Drosophila melanogaster: one gene and its partners. The gene in region 4 interacts genetically with the main gene of each other region. Each region holds a gene or a part of one and is shown on either strand. Other genes may lie near its edges. The genes, in order: Myt1, Z600, Myb and Cdk1.

Region 1 (4,765 bases), on a different chromosome or scaffold from region 4:
TCCGGCAGCGTGGAGTTGTTGGACTTTGTGGCCTTCGGCTCCTCTTCGTCCTCCGGCTTGGGTTTACGTTTGCGGGCGTTGGGATCGAAATCCATGCCGGGTATCCTATTGGCCTGGTCGGCTTCGTCCTCCTCGCTCTGGTCAGCCTGCTCCTCCGGTTCGCTTTCCTCTGCCGTGTTGGCACCCAACATATTGCGCTTGGCGGCCAGATCGTTGGTGGTCAGCTCCACGATCTTCACCTGCACTTCATCATCTTCGTAGGTCTCCTCCTGCTGCTGCTCCGCCTCCTCGGCCTTGTCCTCCTCGGTGAGCTCGCGCAGCGGTTCGAAGGATTTCTTCAGGTGGTTAAAGCCATCCTTTACCTCCTGCCGTATGCGCTTGCGCTCGTTCTTAAGGTTTCTTTCCAGATCCGCCTTTGCACGCGATCGTCGCTCATTCTTTCTTTTCCGGAAGCCACTGAGAAACTCTCTGCGGGATTGGGATGTGGGCATTAGTATCCTCCGGGGATTCTGTGTCTCCTTACTTACATGCGTTTCTTGTTGTCGAATACAACCTCTGTTTTTTTCTTAGGAGCCTTTTTCCTGGTCATTTTCAAAAATTGTGCTACTCGTTTTTGTTTACGTTTTCAACATGTGCGAGCGGCCAGTGTTACCAGATGGGCAAAATACTTTTCCCCGAAACGAAAGGTACGTTAGAATTCAAAAATGTTTTAAAAAAAATTTTTATAGTTATACGTTTCTTGGTTTTTACCTTTAATTTGTTGTTATCATATGTCATAGATGGCATTCAGTGCAGGTTTCAATTTCAATAAGTTTTTTATTTTTAAACTTTTCAAATCGCTTTTCGTATATATATCACATGATTATATGTTCAAGTTCAACAAGTTCTTCTAAAGAAGCATTAACATTACACAATCGTAAGACTATATCTAGGGAACTTCGTACAACACTACGGTCTAGAACTAATCAAAATACAATTAACGATATATTCTGTTGCCATATGTATCTGGTATTCGTTTCGTAACTGATATATATTGGGTTTATCATAAATTCATTCGGTTTACGTTGCTCGCTGGCACCGTACTCACTCACTCGTCGTCATATTCCAGGACGAAGAGCTTTTTGCGTCGGAACGATGAGGTGTCCAGGACCTTGGCGGAAGATAGGGCGGAACACGGACTCTCGAAATCGTGTACATGAACGTACCTGCCCATTGAATCAACACTGAAAGCGGATGGGTTATGTGCGCTAGTCCATGAGCTAATCGATTAAGGGTACTTACTTATTCTTTAGCAAATCCAGACGGGATTTGCCTTGGTTTGTGTTCAATGGCGTGGAATTTATTACGTTGGGGCTACCCTGATTGGAGAGGTCCAGCGGGTCCTCGCCGGAAAGGAAGTCGGAGGCATAGCAGTCACGATTGGCAATGGGTGTGGATCCTACCAGCTGGAACTCCACCTGAGGCACCAGAGGCACTCCCTTTGACGAAGGCGAGGAGGGCACTATGTTAATATTGGGCTGTGAGGCCGTTATGGGCTTGCATAGATGCAGGACCTCCAGGAAGTATAGAAGGTAACGAAAGGCGGCTGTTTTCCAATTGCACATTCTTCCCCAAACGGCGCGGCGAGATCGCCTAAAACTACGCGACTGCAAGTTGTCAAGGGTTAAGATTGATTCTCAAAGATGTGCTTGGGAATGCTTACCAGCATGCTGAAGTTCATCAGCGACTTGCGCTTCTTTTGCAGGTACTGCAGCTTGGGATGTGAGAGTAGCTGCTCGGCCGTCGGCCTCTGCGCAGGATCGGGCTTCATCATGGACTTAATTACCGACTGCAGCTCCAGTGATATTTCTGTGCGAAGAGAAAGGCTTTAGCAACCTGCCATTTAAGTAGGCAGCTAGTTCGCAACTCACTGTTTATGAACTCCTCGGGCAGAATGCCGTGCCTCAGTTCGTGCCACAGTGGGCCGTTGGAAGGAAGATCCATGTAGCATGCCAGCTCTAGCATGGCAATGCCCAGACTGAAGATGTCCGCAGCCTTGGAGAAGTGACCCTGCAGGATCTCTGGAGCCATATACCTCGAATCTCCCTCCGTGGCGTGATGGCTGTTGGCCCTGTCCACATCGATGACCAGTCCAAAGTCTGCCAGCTTGCACGTCTCGTCGTCCTCGCCGATCAGAACGTTGTCCAGTTTAATGTCCAGATGGATGAGATTCCGGTCGTGCAGCGACTTGAGACCCCGCAGCAGATCCAGCAGGATGTGCCAGATGCGCTCCTCCGGTATCCTTTGGCAGCGCAGCAAGTACTGCTCCAGACTTTCGCGGCACAGCTCCATTTGCATGTACAGTCGGTCGTACTGCTCCCAGGCGCGGATGAACCGGATGCAGTTCTCATGGCCGGAGAACTCCTCGTAGCGCCGCACCTCTTCCAGCCGCTCTGCGCGGTACTGTTCGCCGCGGAACAGTTGCTTGGAGATCTTGACGGCATATAACTGGCCGTCGGAGCGATCGCGCACCTGGAATACCTCGCCGAAGGATCCTTCGCCCAGTTTGGCCAGCCTTTCGAAGCACTGCTCGAAGTGTGACAGGGAGAGGGTGCTCAGCTCGGCCTGGACTGGTGACGAGGGCAGCGTACTGGAATCCGAACATCCGGCGTCCCGGAAGGAGATCGCGTGCGCGATCTGGGAACTGTTGGTGCTACAGGAGCCCAGCGATTGGCTTCGGTTCAGATTGTTGTTGTCCACGGCGACGTAGCCACGCGTCTTGTACTTGGGCGGCCGGAAGCGATTGCTGTTCTCCCCATTGCACTGTTTGTGTCTGTGTTTGTCGTCGTGCAATTCCGGGAGGGGCAGGCGATGATGCTTTTCCATTTTCAATTTTGGGTGTCTTTTCTTATGAGTGGGCGAGTGTGACCATATCGGACAGCCGGCGAAATCCTGGCTTCTTCGCTTGGGACAATAAGAGCCGGCTAATTCATTTAACACATGTATCTTATATTTTTGATCTTTATTGGGAGTATAATTATTGATTTCAATTAAGTTAAGCTCCTATAATCGTATACAGATTTTACATGATTTGCCTCTTAAATGCCTCAATTATCGTAAATAGAGATGGGAGAGTTGAGTAGTTGGAAGAACAATAGAAATACTGAAATATTTTTAAAAACTTTAATCTAATCTAATTGTCTTTATGAATATAGGTAAATAAGCAAATAAATTGCTAAATAGTGGAATTAAGCCTTTATATATAGGCCGCTCTTTAAAGGAGAATGGTATTTGCGAATACGATATAATTCAAAAGTGCCGCCCAACTGCGGTATTTTTTTGGAAGATTGCTATTTGCAGTATTATGCCCTTAGGTACCTGGTATATTTTAACGGTCCAGCTGCGGCCGCACTGAGTTTATGAACAACATAGAAAACAACAAATTTATTAGCAAAATGGTTAGCAGAAATATAGAAAGGTAAATACGGCGCCTAGTTACGTGAATGCAGTGGGATTACGCAACACATTCCACCTGGGTGCAGCCAAATCCCAGTTCCCAAGTGCACCTGCCCTGGTTATGCAATTTACTAGGCGGCTTCTTCATTTATCTCGTCTGCACAATGGCTTCTCTGCTTCGGTTGTTCTGAGCGCTTGATCTTGACCTTAACCTTGAGTTCCACATCAAGATAACCATGATTGATTCGTGTATTGTTGTTCTAATTGTGCAGCACGAGTAAGGTGCCCACTTTCCATGTCATCCGCGAGGTCTACGACAGCTCCAATGCCCATGAAAGATTCGAGGCTGAGCTGGACAAGGCGCTGGAAGCCAAGTTGGACTTCATCGTTATAGAGCCGCCTCGGCTGGGCGACGAAACTGGTAAGCACTTGGAAGTGCTTCCTTTTAAAGCACAGTATTAATTTCATATCTCCACAGGTCGTTGGATTTGGGTGGGCAATTGCCTGCACAAGACGGCGGTGGCCACTGGAGTGGTTTCCCTGGTGGCCAGCTTGCTGTGGCGGGATCGCCCCATCATTGCAGCTCCCGCTTGTGCACTCTCGATTTTTTGCACAGGACTGTACACGGTTTCCTGGAACTACGATCCATGTTGTCAATATCAGGTATGAAAGGAAAAGTTCTAGATATCCAAGATTGAGAAGCTCACTTTGGTTGTGTTTTTCAGGTGGAAAATAATGACACCGTGTTGGAGAAACTGCCACTGACAGATGTCTCCTCGCCTGTGATTTTGGGCTACTCGCCCAACTCAAAAACCAAATACTTGCACCGTAGCGTATCCTTGCTCTCGGCTGCCCTGTGCGCCTGGCAGATTTGGAGGTCCTACAAGTAAGGGATTTGCAGGAGCTCTGAAATGTCCAGGTGCTGGATTAGGCCTGTCCCCTGTCTCGCGGACGCGTAATACCTAATAAGTTAAGTTTAGGCACATAGGCGAATGCATTTCTTTTAGATTTTCGAACGATTTTAACACAATGTATTGTCTTTCGTGAAACTTTTAAATGTTCCCATAAACCAGTGTCCATGTCCAGTGTTCCCGTGGCTGCCACTTGCACTGGCTAGCATGCTCATAACTTATTACGGTCCCCAAGCCCAAGTTAGTCTTAAGGGAGGAGCAGCCTCTGCACTGTAAATTAAGCAAAGCCAACCTCTGTGTATAAAGCGAAACCCATTTATGATTGTTATTAGAGTCTAGTTGAAGATATCAGCAAACGAAAGTCAAGTAAACGCGATGCGAATGTTACTCCCGGCTTTAAAGTTACTCCATAGCTAAGA
Region 2 (2,959 bases), on a different chromosome or scaffold from region 4:
GCAATTAGCATTACTGTGCTAGGTCGCCACGGATTCTTGCGATAAAATGTCAGTGCGATAAGACGAGGGTCTTGAACCCCAGTCCGCGTTTTCCCCCGTCACTTTTCCCGCTTTCCACATTTCACCATGTGCCATCCGTTTGCATAAGCACCCAAGATTTGGGTATGGTTACATATGAGCATGGCATTCTTACTTTTTGTGCTCCTCGGGACTGTTCAGATCGAAACTAGCGTTCTTGCGGCCGCTCTCCTTGATGCTTTCGAATTTTTCAAAATTTGGTGCCAGGCCTGCGGATGGAAAACATGCCATGGAAAGCTATAAAATACGCATTTACTGTGGAAAACGCCGGCAAAACAAAAAGTTAACAGAGCCAGAGAGCAAGAGAGGCAGAGGCAGATATATAGAGAGAGAGAGAGAGAGAAAGGAAAAGAGTATGTTTTTGTGACATAACAGCTGTTCTCTTGAAAGGGTCTATTGTGGCATTATTAACCATTATTACTATCAATATTTTGGACTCACCGCGACGCGTTTTAGCAACAATTTTGCTAGGTCCCTTGTTGATTGTGTACATGGTGGTGGGGAGATGGGGAGTACCGGCTGAAAATATACCTTGTCCTTTCGATTTACGTATTGTTGTTTTCGTTTCTGGCAACGAAATGCCTAGCCGACTGCTATGATTTTGAGTATTTTTCCGCTCTAGGCAATCATATGATCATTGGCAGCCCAGCCTGCCCCACGCCGCCTCCTTTTGGCCTATTGTCATCGTCTCAAAAGGTTACACAATACACTTCACTTAGGGCAGTGATTCCGATTTAGCACTCTTTGATTTTGATGGCTGCCGCACCGCGCTCGTATCAATTGTTTTCGATTAAAATCACCGACAATTACTCCTGGAAACGCGTTTGTAATGTTCTGTGTTCGGCGGACGAGGCTCCAATGCAACTGCCCCATTCAAATCGCATAACGAAATGTTAAGAGAGACACCCGCAAAGAGCCGTATGTTAGGGCGTTCATGCGGCAGACAACTCGACTTTCAGCAGATCATAATTTCTTCATGGCAGTAACCCACGGCAGTGATTTTATTTGATAAGCGTTTATTTCTTTAGGCTTTCAACTATAATGGGCACTATCAATTGTTTAGTAAAGTCTTTATTTTATAATAGCAATCAGCTTTAGGTTTCGTAGTTCGCGAAGTCGATTAACGCATAAACTGTACAACCGATACACGTGTATGCCCACCATATGATTTCGCCAGTATGTACACACTTTAAAACGGCAGTGGGTTCTTTCACCTGCGCGCGTTTTTTTAAAAGCGTATTAATTGATTAGAGGCTACATTTAAAAGATTGGATTATTGAAAGCATTTAGAGATCCAATATAATTGAAAGCATTTGGAGATCCAATAAATTATATTTTTATATTATCTTTAAGGAATTATTATCTATAAAGTAAGAAATTAATATACTCCATTAAAAAGTTATGCACTTTAAACACCAAATTTGGAAATTGTTACGAATTCCTTTCTAATTTATTGCGATTTGTAAAAGGCGGACTTTATGGCGGTAGACTAAAACCCATTACTACCTGCTCGCGTAATTCTGAACGCATTAAAAAGGGATTAGCGAGAATTTTCTGCGGAAATTTTAATTATGAGCAGGTAGCACCATAAAAGTGACAGATGTGGAAAACGGATAAGCTGTATTTTCCGCGCAGATATTTATGGCAGTCCTGAAATTGCACACTCAAGTGGATATAAAGAAGGCCGTGGGCAAAAGGAAATCAGTAGCAAATCAGCAACGTCAAGCTTCACATTAACTTCCTGATCAGCCAGCCTAGCAGTTATTATGTCGTCGACAAATGAAACCAACCAAGTGCTGCAGCGCCTGAACAGCCTGAAAATCGTGGAAACCCCAAAGGAGCAGCATGAGTTCGGAAAACGCGAGTGCTACTCCCTGGACAGCAAGAAGTATTCCCTGGTACCAGCCACCCCCAGCAGCTCAGGACACGGAAAGTTCCAAACCGAACTCAAAAAGCGCCGCAAAAACAAACTGAATCGCATGTACACTTACGAGGCTGATAAGAATTTCATCAAGGCTCGCAAATCTTTGAACTTCTAATCATAATACGAACCGATGTAATCACCTTAGTCATAAGCATCATTGATTTCAAATCGTACAGTCACAATTCTTTTCACGCTCTGATACAACAAAAATATATATAAATACTTTTGAAACATTTTACTTTCCGCGTCTTTCTCTGACTTACCGTTATGTGGGCAGCCAAACTGATTGTGGTCACACTGCTGCTGCTGCAGTTTGCAGCCCTGGCGCTCAGCTGTTCGTGCGGCGAAGAGGCGAAATTGGAGTGCGGTTGCACAAAACATCACTAAAAACACAAATACTTGGGAATATTACACAAATTATTGTAAATAAATAGGAAATCACAATTTAGTTAAGATGGCGGACATACCGGCAACCAGCGAAGGTAGTGCGAACACTAGTGAGGCAGTAGTGGAGTATCAGCAGCCAACTCCGGAGTTTTTACAACGCAAAATCTATTTTTTGGTGGACCAATTGCGAACTTACCATTCGGAACTTCCCGAGTAAGTCCTTGATATTTAGTTTATTTAAATATTTAACGCCATTTTTGATTAACAGAAACTTGCAGACACGCATTTCCTACGATCTACTCACCGAACTCGCCAATTGTGTGCTAAACGATGGCATTTTTGTAATAGTAAAAGCATTAATGGAGCTGCAACACGAAACCGAAAGACACTTAATTAAAATACGGATGCAGGCGGAGAACGAGTATGAAATAGAAGTGGCCGAGTGGAGGAGCAAGATCAAGGATCCCGAGGAGTTGCGCCACATTTTGGGACTCATGAAAATAAAGCACACTAAGAAACTACACGAGTCGGATACGAAGATTATCGAAATACTAGATCAAAAGGTGAAGA
Region 3 (5,915 bases), on a different chromosome or scaffold from region 4:
GGCCACATCGCTGGGAGCACGATAAGAATCCCAAACTACTGGTGGATACGCTCTGTCAGCTCCATGAGCGACAAGTGGACTTCAAGGTGACTATTTGTGGCGAGAGTTACCAGGAGATACCGGAGGAATTCGAGCATATACAGGAGAAACTGGGCAGCAAGCTGGTGAACTTTGGCCATCTGGAGCGTGAAGAGTACTTGAAGACCCTGCTGACTGGGGACATTGTGATATCAACTGCCGACCATGAGTTTTTTGGAGTAGCAATGCTGGAGGCCGCTTTCTGCGGCTGTTATCCCATTGCGCCCAACAAATTGGTCTACCCGGAAATCTACCCAAAGGAAAACCTCTACAACACCTCCAATGCGCTGACGAAGAAGCTCTACAACTTTTGTAGAATGCCGAGGGTCTTTCGCAAGCAGCGCGATCAATTCTTTGAGAACTTTAATTTCGATCGTTTTTCGGCGAAAGAACTAGTGCCAAAATATCTGGACATATTCAATAAACATATTGCAGACGAACAAAGTTAGAAATCGAAGGTTTGGCAAATGTCTATCAAAATATTCTCTGTAATATAATAGATATATTTTTGAATAAATATATCTCTCTTCTGTAACCTACAAAGCCAAAAAAAAACGATATATATATGTAAGTCCTTTGTGTTAAAACACGCTTCATTCACTTTAAGCATTTATTTATTTATGAAATATCCGAAAAAAATGGGATACAATTTAAGGTGGATGTAACCAATAATGCCATAAATGTAGCACAATAAATTCTATTTCGAAAACACAATTTGGATGAAAATTTGGGGATTCATATCTACAATATTATAAAGATGATGCGTATAGAATTTTGTTTGTAATACCTGAATATAGCCACATAGAATTTAGAGCGAACCAAAGCGGTCGAACGAATTCACCAAACACTTTTGTTTCTCGAAGTTCAGGGAGCGCGAAATACAGGACAGATTTTTGAGGCACGCATAAGCCTGCTCCTCCATAAACATTTGATCTCTGGACTTGCCACAAGCGACGCGTGCCCACTTGGGATCAATGACATGATCGTAGGTCAAGCCACCGCGGTACTTGTTAATTCTGCGATTATGGAATGGTCGATTCTCCTTTCTGCCCTCGTCGAACGGCAGGTCCTGTTCGCTGCACAGCGTGTCCTTCAAAATATCGCCCGGCGATGTGAGAAACTTGCTGGGCGTCTCGGTTTCGAAGGGTTGAATCCTCTTGGCGGAGCCAGCGTTGTATGGATGATTGGAGCTCCAAGTTGAGAGCAATGACTTCCTGGCACGTTTCATATGCGGCGGCGACTGAGCATTGTATTCGGTGCTTAGCGTTGAGTTCTGATCGGCGGCGCCCATCATTTTGGAATTGTTTGCGGTCAGCGAGTTGCTCAGATGCTCTTCATGGATGATTTCGGCCAGATCCTCCACCAGACTGGATGGGCTGGAGGGCTCGTATCGACGACCGTCCCTCTTCTTGCCGATGGCAGCAAGTGCCTTTTTGAAGGGCGTTGGTGTTCGTGGTCCAAGTTGACCTACAAATAACGATGATTGTGTGTATTCAAGATGCATTTGAAGCCAACAGTGGCTTGTACTTACTCTTGTGTGGAGTTTCTATCGACGATGTCTCCATTTCCTTTTTGATCTCCATTCCAACGCGATTATAGACCTTGGTTACCGGCGTGCTAGCCCGCAGATCCATATCTTCAAAGGTGGTCAGGCAAGGCGACTTGAGGAAGTGACTCGGTGAAAAGGGTAGCGACTTAATGGGCGATATGACGGGCGAACTCGGTGGTCGCGACCTGGCGTTTCCGGCGGCTTCTTCCTGGTTGAATGTCTCACTTGATGAACATCCTGCCTGATGGTGAGTTTCGGGAATGTGTTTGCGTGTACGCTTCAATATGATCGGTGTTTGGCGCGGCATGGTCAACTTAATGAGATGCTGCATACTGAGGTGTGCCAGATTGGATCCCTTTTGATGATCGTCTTGTGATTCCTGTGCCAGATCACCACCTTTCACGGCAGTAACCGAAGCGCCATCGGCGTTTTCGGATTTATTAACTGCCTCACCACCAGATTCCTTGTTATGTTGCATATTATTCATACACTTGCTGATGCCACCGGACTTGATCAGCGTGATGAGATGGGTTCGCGAACTCTTCAAATCGCTACCAGATGCATTAACCGATCTGCGTTCGACGTCATATTTGCGACGCATTGTTGAATTCCAATGGTTTTTAATGGCGTTATCGGTGCGTCCGGGCAGACGTTTGGCAATCTTTGCCCACTGGTTGCCCAGCTCCAAGTGAGCCTGGTAGATAATCTCGTCCTCCTTTTCGGTCCAGGCCGTTTTCTTGATATTCGGATTGAGGTGGTTGTGCCATCTCTCGCGGCACTGTTTCCCAATTCGTCCGTTCAGATATCGTGCAATTAGTGTCCATTTCTTGGGCCCGAAGTTGCGCACCAGCTTAATAACCATGTCGTCCTCGTCCCGCGTCCACGGGCCCTTGATTAGCTCCGGATTGAGGACTTTGGCCCAACGCTGCTGCACTTGCTGTTCCAGGCGATCCTTGAAATGCGGTCCGATAATCTCCCAGTTCTCACCGTGCGTCTCCACCAGCTGCTTGAGCAACACATCCTCGGACTTGGACCAGCGTTTGCCGAATCCATAGTTCGGATGCACTGCACCGATGCTAGTTTTACCGCTTTTGTTCTGTCCCTTTTGCCCCGTCGTCTTGGAGTCCTGTAGTTCGGGCGAGTCCAGTGGATAGCCCGAATCGGCATTGCTGTTCTGTTGTGAATCCTTGTCGCAAACTTGGGTATCCTCGTTCTCCGAGTACTCGGACTCCTCCGAATCCGAATTGCTGCCGTAATTCATCAGCTCCTCGCCGTTTTCAGTGCTCGCACTTGCCATCTTAAGATCAACTTTATAGGTATATATATATGAATAATGGCGCTCTTTGTATATATGTGTATGGGTTCTTTAACGCTGCTTGCGGGGCGAACAAAAGTGATAGATCTCCGGCTCTGACTTGTTCCCACGCTGGAAACGATGAACGTCGCGTTTGCAGTACAAGCACTTGGGCAAATGATCCAGAATATGCGGATGGTAGAATATGTAGTGCGAGCAAATGTCGCTGTACGAGTTACACTTGAATTGATTTCCGCACGTCAGGCAGTCGACCAGTTCACGTTGATGATCGCTGCGCAATATTGGGTGCGTCGCATCGCTCTCGGTCCGCCCAAAATCGAATAGTTTTGTTTGCTGCTCCTCGAGGCGATTTTGGTTTGGATTCGTGTTCTTTGTTACTTGAAGATTACAGATATTTGTGGACATACTCATTCAGGCAGCGAACTAAAAAGCAGATGCAAGTTTTACGATATTACGTTTATGCCAAACATTTTGATGCTCTATATTTAGCACTGAGGAAAACGGGGGAAAAAAATTACCACTCGCACATTTGTCTTCATCTAAAGTGGTGCTACCGTTATTTCAAATTCAAACTGCTGGGCTATGGGTACACACTTTGGTGTTTTTGATCAGTTCATTCACGTTTTCACACTGGAATTTTACGGCGTCGCATCTTATTATATTAAATGTAGTACTTAGTGTGACCGTTACACGAGCACTAGCGTTGTAATTCAAAACGATTAAAATCTATCGATAAATAATCACTACGGTAATCGGCACGTTTCCACTAGAAGTCAATATCTTGTACGATAGCTGGGATAGTATCGATATTTAGCTATCAACTTCTTGGAAATATTGTTAAAAAGTTGCCATCGGATAAAATAATTTTGTCAGAATTGCCAAATTTAGTTGTCAGTAGCATTTATAGGGACTGAAAAATATATTTATAAAACTATTAACTTCACCTATACATTTAAGATATTTCCATTGAACGCATCACTTCAACGTTAATTGCTATGTTTCTTTAGTTTTCAATTGAAATGCAGTTTTTTATTTTGTAAAATACTATAAAATTAAAAATTTTTCCAAGGAGGGGTTAAAGCTTAACATCTCCTGGATTTAAAACTTGACGTATATTAATATTAATACGTGAATCGTCCATATATCTCGAAAAAGGCTCCCAAAATTGAGGGTTGCCAACATCATGAAATAAATCTTTATCAATTGTACGCGTTTTAATATCTGCATTATCGACATCTTCAATTATCAGTGATAAAGTCGCGGAAGCCTGAGTTTTGATGATACGAGGAACTGCGTGATAGCATAGACGCGATTCTCCGGACATTATCATAACGTCCCCGGATTGAAGGTAGATAGCGGTTGGCTTTTCTTCTAAAGATCTTCCACCAATTAGAAATATTGCAGTCTGACCAAAACTGTAAGCATAAAATTAAAAAAAAATTAGCTGCACGGATATGTTTAATCCGTGATATATTACCTAAAAGAAAACAAAGGGGCCGATTTGTTTGGTTCAGAGTGATCTGTGTGACCCGATAACGTACTACCAACTGGATAGTAATTTACAATTGCGGCTTCTGGCTTAAAATCCGCGTATCCCAACGCTTGCGCAAACAATCCGCATAGACTGCTCAAATCTTCGGGAAACGGCGACTGCATCTCCTCATCATAGATCTTCGTGTCCCAGTTGTGATGATATCCAAATGTCGTCCAACGCATCGCGGATTTTATACGTTGGAACTCAACGCCATCGCTGCACAGATTAAGCTGTTTCCACCAGTCCGACCTGACGGATTCATCGAAGAGCCTTTCATTTAAATTGACTATATTTGGCGTTCGCGGAAAATCCCGCAGACATCGGGCGCTCCAATAACGCCGGCCTCGTTCCGAGAATGGATTCCGAATCACAATAATGCCGGGATGGTTAGTTAATGTATAGGTTCGCCAATCTTTTGGCGATTTAACGCCTGGCATTGTCTGTAGGCTTTCTACATTGCTGATACTTAATCGTTGAACAATATTCTGAGGGGAATGTAGAAATCATAATTCAATTGCAACGGATCGAGTACTTACATTATCACTCTTTTCTTGATCATTCCCCTTGACTACACAATCATCGATCTTAACAACTTCCGTTAAATCAGGACTGGTACTTTTGCACTTGTACTGCTTAAAAACTAGCTTGAACATGCTTCATAAACAATAAGTACAATATAAACAATAAGTTAATATAAACGATAGCAATAGTGTGACTGCGTTTGGAGAAATCTTAAATGCTTTTGAGCACGTTTAGAAATCAGACATGTGGTGGAAATACTATGGGATAGATATAAAAATTAAAAATGAATGCAATTCATAAGAGACATTGCCGAAAAAGCTCGAATGTCCTTTTCATGGAAAAAATTTTAAGCCTTTTTTCATGAGGTGATTCATTTGTGATTAATCTTATCGATATAAAGTTATCGATATATGAACGGGACTTTTAACTATTTTGAAATATTTTTGTTGTTTTGAGACCGATTTTTTCATTGTTTACGTTTTTGCAGTGATCGTTTTCATTATTTCGGTCGAAGATACGTCTTAAGGGTTGCACAGGAAAAAATCAAGTGGGAACATTACACTTCAGAGCGATAATAGATCTTTATTTTTTATATTTTTATGAATTAATATTAAAAAAGGAGTTGAAATAAGAAAATGGTATATTTATATGACATATTTATATATTTATATATGTTGTAGTTATTTTACTTTCATGTGAGGGGGCGTGCTTAATACTATATTCGGTTCAAAAGAAAGGGGTACCACATTGTTTATATAAAATAAAATATGTTTTTAAAATATAACGTCTTTTGACAAATAAACTTTGAATAAATAAAGACAAGTTGGTATATTTGCCGGCTCTCTCCGTCCGCAGTGTGAACAGCCTGGCTGCCGAATATGTATCAATGCTATCGATATCCGCATACATCGATACTG
Region 4 (4,036 bases):
GTTTAACTGAACTGATATTGTCCGACAACAAACTGCTAAATGAAATTGATGAGGAGGCTCTATCCAAGAACGTAACTGGTGGCCAGTACTTGGACTACCCGCCATTGGAAAAGGTAATTCAAGTGCAAAAGCATGTAGAGCTTTAATCAACTAAATAACATAAACTTTTAGGTTTACTTGAATAATTGCAACGTGTCGACTTTGCCGAAAGAACTACTAGTGCGCTGGGATAAACTTAAGGCTCTGGATCTTAGATTCAACCCGTGGAATTGCGACGAATCCAATGACTTCTTGATCAACGTCTTGATAGATCGAATCAACAAGACCACGCCCGTTCTGGCCAAAGATGTCAAATGTGGCGGTCCGAACAAGTTAAACGATGTTACGCTGCTCAGAGTGGCGAATGAACATATGATAGAAAGTTCGACGGGCAGTCTTATATGGGTTGGACTCTTGGTTGTCCTGCTCATCGCGGTGCCGACCATCATTGGTGCTTACGTGATGAAGAGGCGCGGCTGCTTTGGCGTCTTTAGACGTCATGACAGCGGTGCTAGCAGTGCTCTCTATAATAGGACTAGTTTCAACGAGGATTTCCATATTTAACTTTCTTTTTGTATAATAATTAAAGCCTTGAAGCCTTATTATTCTGTTAGAGCGCTGGTAATTTGGCGTAAATCTGTAAATACACTTACATAAATTAAGTAAACGTTGATTGTTTTACACCCTTAGTTTTATTTACGGCTATTTTGCTTTAGATTAGATACCAAGATCTCTTGTTTTAAAATTCTTAGTTAAAGTCAAACGAGAATACCGAACGTTAATTTCGAACTAAGCCCGATTGAAAACCATTGAAATAGGGATGCTCCAAAATGTCCTTGGCGGAAATGCGATGAACTGGATCGTAGATTAACATCTTTTGTATGAGATCAATACCATTCGCATCGAGATTCTTTAACTGATTGGTCAATTGGTTCGTGGACCAGCAGGGGAACGTGTTCTTATAGTCGGGTAGCGAAGTAACGCCCGGCCAAATGTCTTCGGTAGGTGTTTTCAGAATTCTGCAATCAATGAGTGTGAGTATCACAGGGAATAGAAAGTAAATTACCTGTGGTTACCTAAACATTCTAAACAACTGGTCAATTTCCGAGTCACCCTGGAATAGCGGCTTTCTCGTTGCCATCTCCGCGAATATGCATCCAATGGACCAGATATCGACGGGACAGGAATACCGGGGTGAACCCAGTAGCACCTCCGGCGCTCTGTACCACAAGGTAACAATCTCGTGCGTATAAATGCGCACCGGAATGCCAAAGGATCGGCCAAGTCCAAAGTCGGCGACTTTTATGAGGCCACTCTTGTCGATTAGTAAGTTCTGCGGCTTAAGATCACGGTGAAGTACTCGCCGACGATGGCAGAAAAGAATGGCGCTAGTTATTTGGTACAAATAGCTACGGACCAATTCACTCTCCATGTGCTTATCAACTGGCAGCGAATCCATGTATTTCTTGAGGTCCATCGATAGGAATTCAAAGATCAAGTATATGCGGTTCTCCTCCATCAAAACATCCTCCAAACAGACAATGTTTTCATGTTTCAACTCCTTAAGCAACGAAATTTCTCTGTAATGGATATTAAATATTACTACATTATAGAAAAAACATGTGATTAAAGTATTTTAGTTATTGGTCTATCAGTTGAACCAGAAAGTATTCGCAGGCTTCCAATTAATAAACATAAATAGAAAGTATGATGATGTACACATGAGCATAAGTACGCATATAGGATTGTACATACACACACATATGTATGATGAACATAAGCCGTAACATAATTATGCTAGACTTCCACAGTATAAATTAAAAACAATATTGCAAAATCTTCAAACCAACCCATAAGATGTCAAGGAACATACTTTCAATTAAGCATATAAGCCATTTGAATGGAAAAGTCGCGAAAGAACATGAAACATTTTGAGGCTTGGGCGTCCAAGCCGCGGCATTTTACCTGATCGCGGTTGATGGAACGCCTTCGTCGTCGGACTCCAAGCGGATTTTCTTCATTGCCACAATTTGGCCCGTCAGGCGGTTGCGACCCTTATACACCACGCCATATGTGCCCTCGCCAATCTTCTCAATTTTCTCAAAATCCTCCATAATTTATTAAGCTATTTCTTTGCAAGCCACCGACTTTTAAATTAGCGCGTTTTTGACGTATATGCTCTAGTATTACCAGACAGTTTAAACGATGCTAAGCTAGCTACATTTATTCATTTGGAATGTGGGAATGAAACTCAATATTCAGGCAACTTATTGAATTGCTGTATCTTAAAAATGTTGTTAATTTTTTTAAAGTTAATTTTAGTGTACTGTAAAATTCCACGCTTTTTTTTATAGTGATTTCAATTAATTAAGACATCACTTTGTTTGAGTTCGGAGACAAACGTTTCTGCTAATATACTATTAATTAACTTATGAGTTTTTGGTGCAATTAATTTCTATTTTATATCTTTTGAAGGTGAGTACCAGTAGTACGGTACTAAAGAAATTAATTTAAAAAATGTAATTGGAATACCGCAACTGTTTTACTTCATTTTTGTTGTTTCAAAATTACTAAGCTCTTTGTCGATATCTTGACACACCTATATGCATGCCGCAAATGTGCATAACATATATATAACATAGTTTTTTTATTTTTTGCCGACACAGCAGACGATGTAAACATGTCGCTTTTAGGTAGGATTGCAGAGAAAACTTCAAGGCTCAGGTAAGTTAAACTTCTCTAAAGTGTTACTTATCTCTAAAAACACAAATGACTGATCACCCATTTGTTTATTGTAGCTGCCTTCGATTGATGTCGGTGTATCCCACACACTATGTCGAACCAATTGTACAAAAATATAAACAACTAGAGCAAAAGAATGATCTGTCCAAGCTTTACCATGTGCCCATCAAGGCGGCGGTCAACAAATCGTCTGATACCATCTTTCACGACGATACAAAACATAAAATGATCAATTATATAACGAAAAAGGGGAACAGTGCCTTGGCCAGAACGCTTTTGTCCAAGACGCTGGAGCTAATAAAACGAACCCAGACGGAGCACATGAATCTGGCCAAAGGGGAGAAGACAACCATAAACACCAATCCCGAAACGCTTCTGAAACAAGCGGTTGAAAACTGCCGACCGCTCCTTCAAGTGACCGCCATAAAACGTGGTGGTGTCACCTATCAAGTCCCTGTTCCCATCACCACGAAGCGGTCATATTTTCTGGCCATGAAGTGGCTCTTGGAAGCTGCCCGCGAGAAGGAGCGTAAGGTGTCCCTGCCGGAAAAGTTGGCCTGGGAGATTCTCGACGCAGCCCATGGCCAGGGAAGGGTCATCAAGCGAAAGGACGATCTGCACAGGCTGTGCGAAAGCAACCGCGCCTACGCACATTACCGATGGAGCTAAATGCACAACAAACTGTTTTTCCAATGCAATAAACTTTTCATATACCTGTTAATATCTATGATTAGGATTTGTGTCCGGGGAATGTCTTAAGAGAGCGGAATATCGAAATAATTCCTGGATTTATGGGGACTAAAAACGAGGACCTTAGTAAAATTGTATGAAGCTATGATACCATTATAAAAACACATTTCTAATATTTTTTCTTTATTTTTCCTTATACGTTGTTTATAGTAGATTTGAAAATTGGATTTTCCAAATGGTGTTATAGCTATTGAAACCCAAAGTTTTTCTTATTACACTTATACTAAGTTTTTATATAAATTTCTTCAACCCATTTACCTGGTTCGTCGTGTTTTAAGCTTCTGAATTTAATTTAAAATTATAGCACAGCTTAATAACAGAGTCTACTCTTTTTAGAATTTTTCTATTTAATTTCAGTATAAAATGCAATTTTATACAAATAAATTATCCTGATTGTCTCAAAAACATATTTTTTCAAGTGCAAAGTTAAAAAATGTAACCTGTTTATCGCGCAACGACAACGGTGTAAACAGTGCGTTAAGGTTGTCGAGGTGTACGTCTATCG

Evidence for each region.
Region 1: of Cdk1 (region 4) and Myt1, changing one enhances a phenotype caused by changing the other (phenotypic enhancement), as found in Drosophila melanogaster (one study listed by BioGRID).
Region 2: of Cdk1 (region 4) and Z600, changing one suppresses a phenotype caused by changing the other (phenotypic suppression), as found in Drosophila melanogaster (one study listed by BioGRID).
Region 3: of Cdk1 (region 4) and Myb, changing one suppresses a phenotype caused by changing the other (phenotypic suppression), as found in Drosophila melanogaster (2 studies listed by BioGRID).

The regions. Positions count from the first base shown.
Region 1 is NT_037436.4:5,776,677-5,781,441, forward strand, and holds Myt1 (Myt1), read right to left. Parts: upstream 2,916-4,765; 5' UTR 2,866-2,915; coding exon 1,911-2,865; intron 1,849-1,910; coding exon 1,703-1,848; intron 1,647-1,702; coding exon 1,282-1,646; intron 1,224-1,281; coding exon 1,088-1,223; 3' UTR 800-1,087; downstream 1-799. Other genes in the region: vito (viriato), read right to left, coding at 1-468, 528-589; Pmi, read left to right, coding at 3,435-3,457, 3,708-3,856, 3,914-4,098, 4,161-4,321. UniProt on the Drosophila melanogaster protein: Acts as a negative regulator of entry into mitosis (G2 to M transition) by phosphorylation of Cdk1 specifically when Cdk1 is complexed to cyclins. Mediates phosphorylation of Cdk1 predominantly on 'Thr-14'. Also involved in Golgi fragmentation.
Region 2 is NT_037436.4:15,507,280-15,510,238, forward strand, and holds Z600 (Z600), read left to right. Parts: upstream 1-1,781; 5' UTR 1,782-1,844; coding exon 1,845-2,117; 3' UTR 2,118-2,234; downstream 2,235-2,959. Other genes in the region: CG7841 (uncharacterized protein), read right to left, coding at 194-287, 520-571; gdl-ORF39, read left to right, coding at 2,270-2,389; gdl (gonadal), read left to right, coding at 2,457-2,602, 2,658-2,952. UniProt on the Drosophila melanogaster protein: Cell cycle regulator that is involved in modulating and adjusting cell proliferation according to the requirements of the developmental program. Interacts with mitotic Cdk1-cyclin complexes to inhibit mitotic entry at the G2/M transition.
Region 3 is NC_004354.4:15,854,181-15,860,095, forward strand, and holds Myb (Myb oncogene-like), read right to left. Parts: upstream 3,644-5,915; 5' UTR 3,497-3,643; exon of another isoform or gene 3,434-3,496; 5' UTR 3,348-3,433; coding exon of another isoform or gene 2,994-3,347; 5' UTR 2,925-2,993; coding exon 1,610-2,924; intron 1,546-1,609; coding exon 887-1,545; 3' UTR 652-886; downstream 1-651. Other genes in the region: CG15914 (uncharacterized protein), read left to right, coding at 1-527; CG46440 (uncharacterized protein), read right to left, coding at 2,994-3,347; AlkB, read right to left, coding at 4,018-4,357, 4,420-4,961, 5,013-5,129. UniProt on the Drosophila melanogaster protein: DNA-binding protein that specifically recognizes the sequence 5'-YAAC[GT]G-3'. Component of the DREAM complex, a multiprotein complex that can both act as a transcription activator or repressor depending on the context.
Region 4 is NT_033779.5:10,384,025-10,388,060, forward strand, and holds Cdk1 (Cyclin-dependent kinase 1), read right to left. Parts: upstream 2,239-4,036; 5' UTR 2,154-2,238; coding exon 2,005-2,153; intron 1,620-2,004; coding exon 1,116-1,619; intron 1,059-1,115; coding exon 818-1,058; 3' UTR 715-817; downstream 1-714. Other genes in the region: CG5096 (uncharacterized protein), read left to right, coding at 1-113, 172-603; mRpS7 (mitochondrial ribosomal protein S7), read left to right, coding at 2,720-2,763, 2,838-3,450. UniProt on the Drosophila melanogaster protein: Plays a key role in the control of the eukaryotic cell cycle. Required for entry into S-phase and mitosis.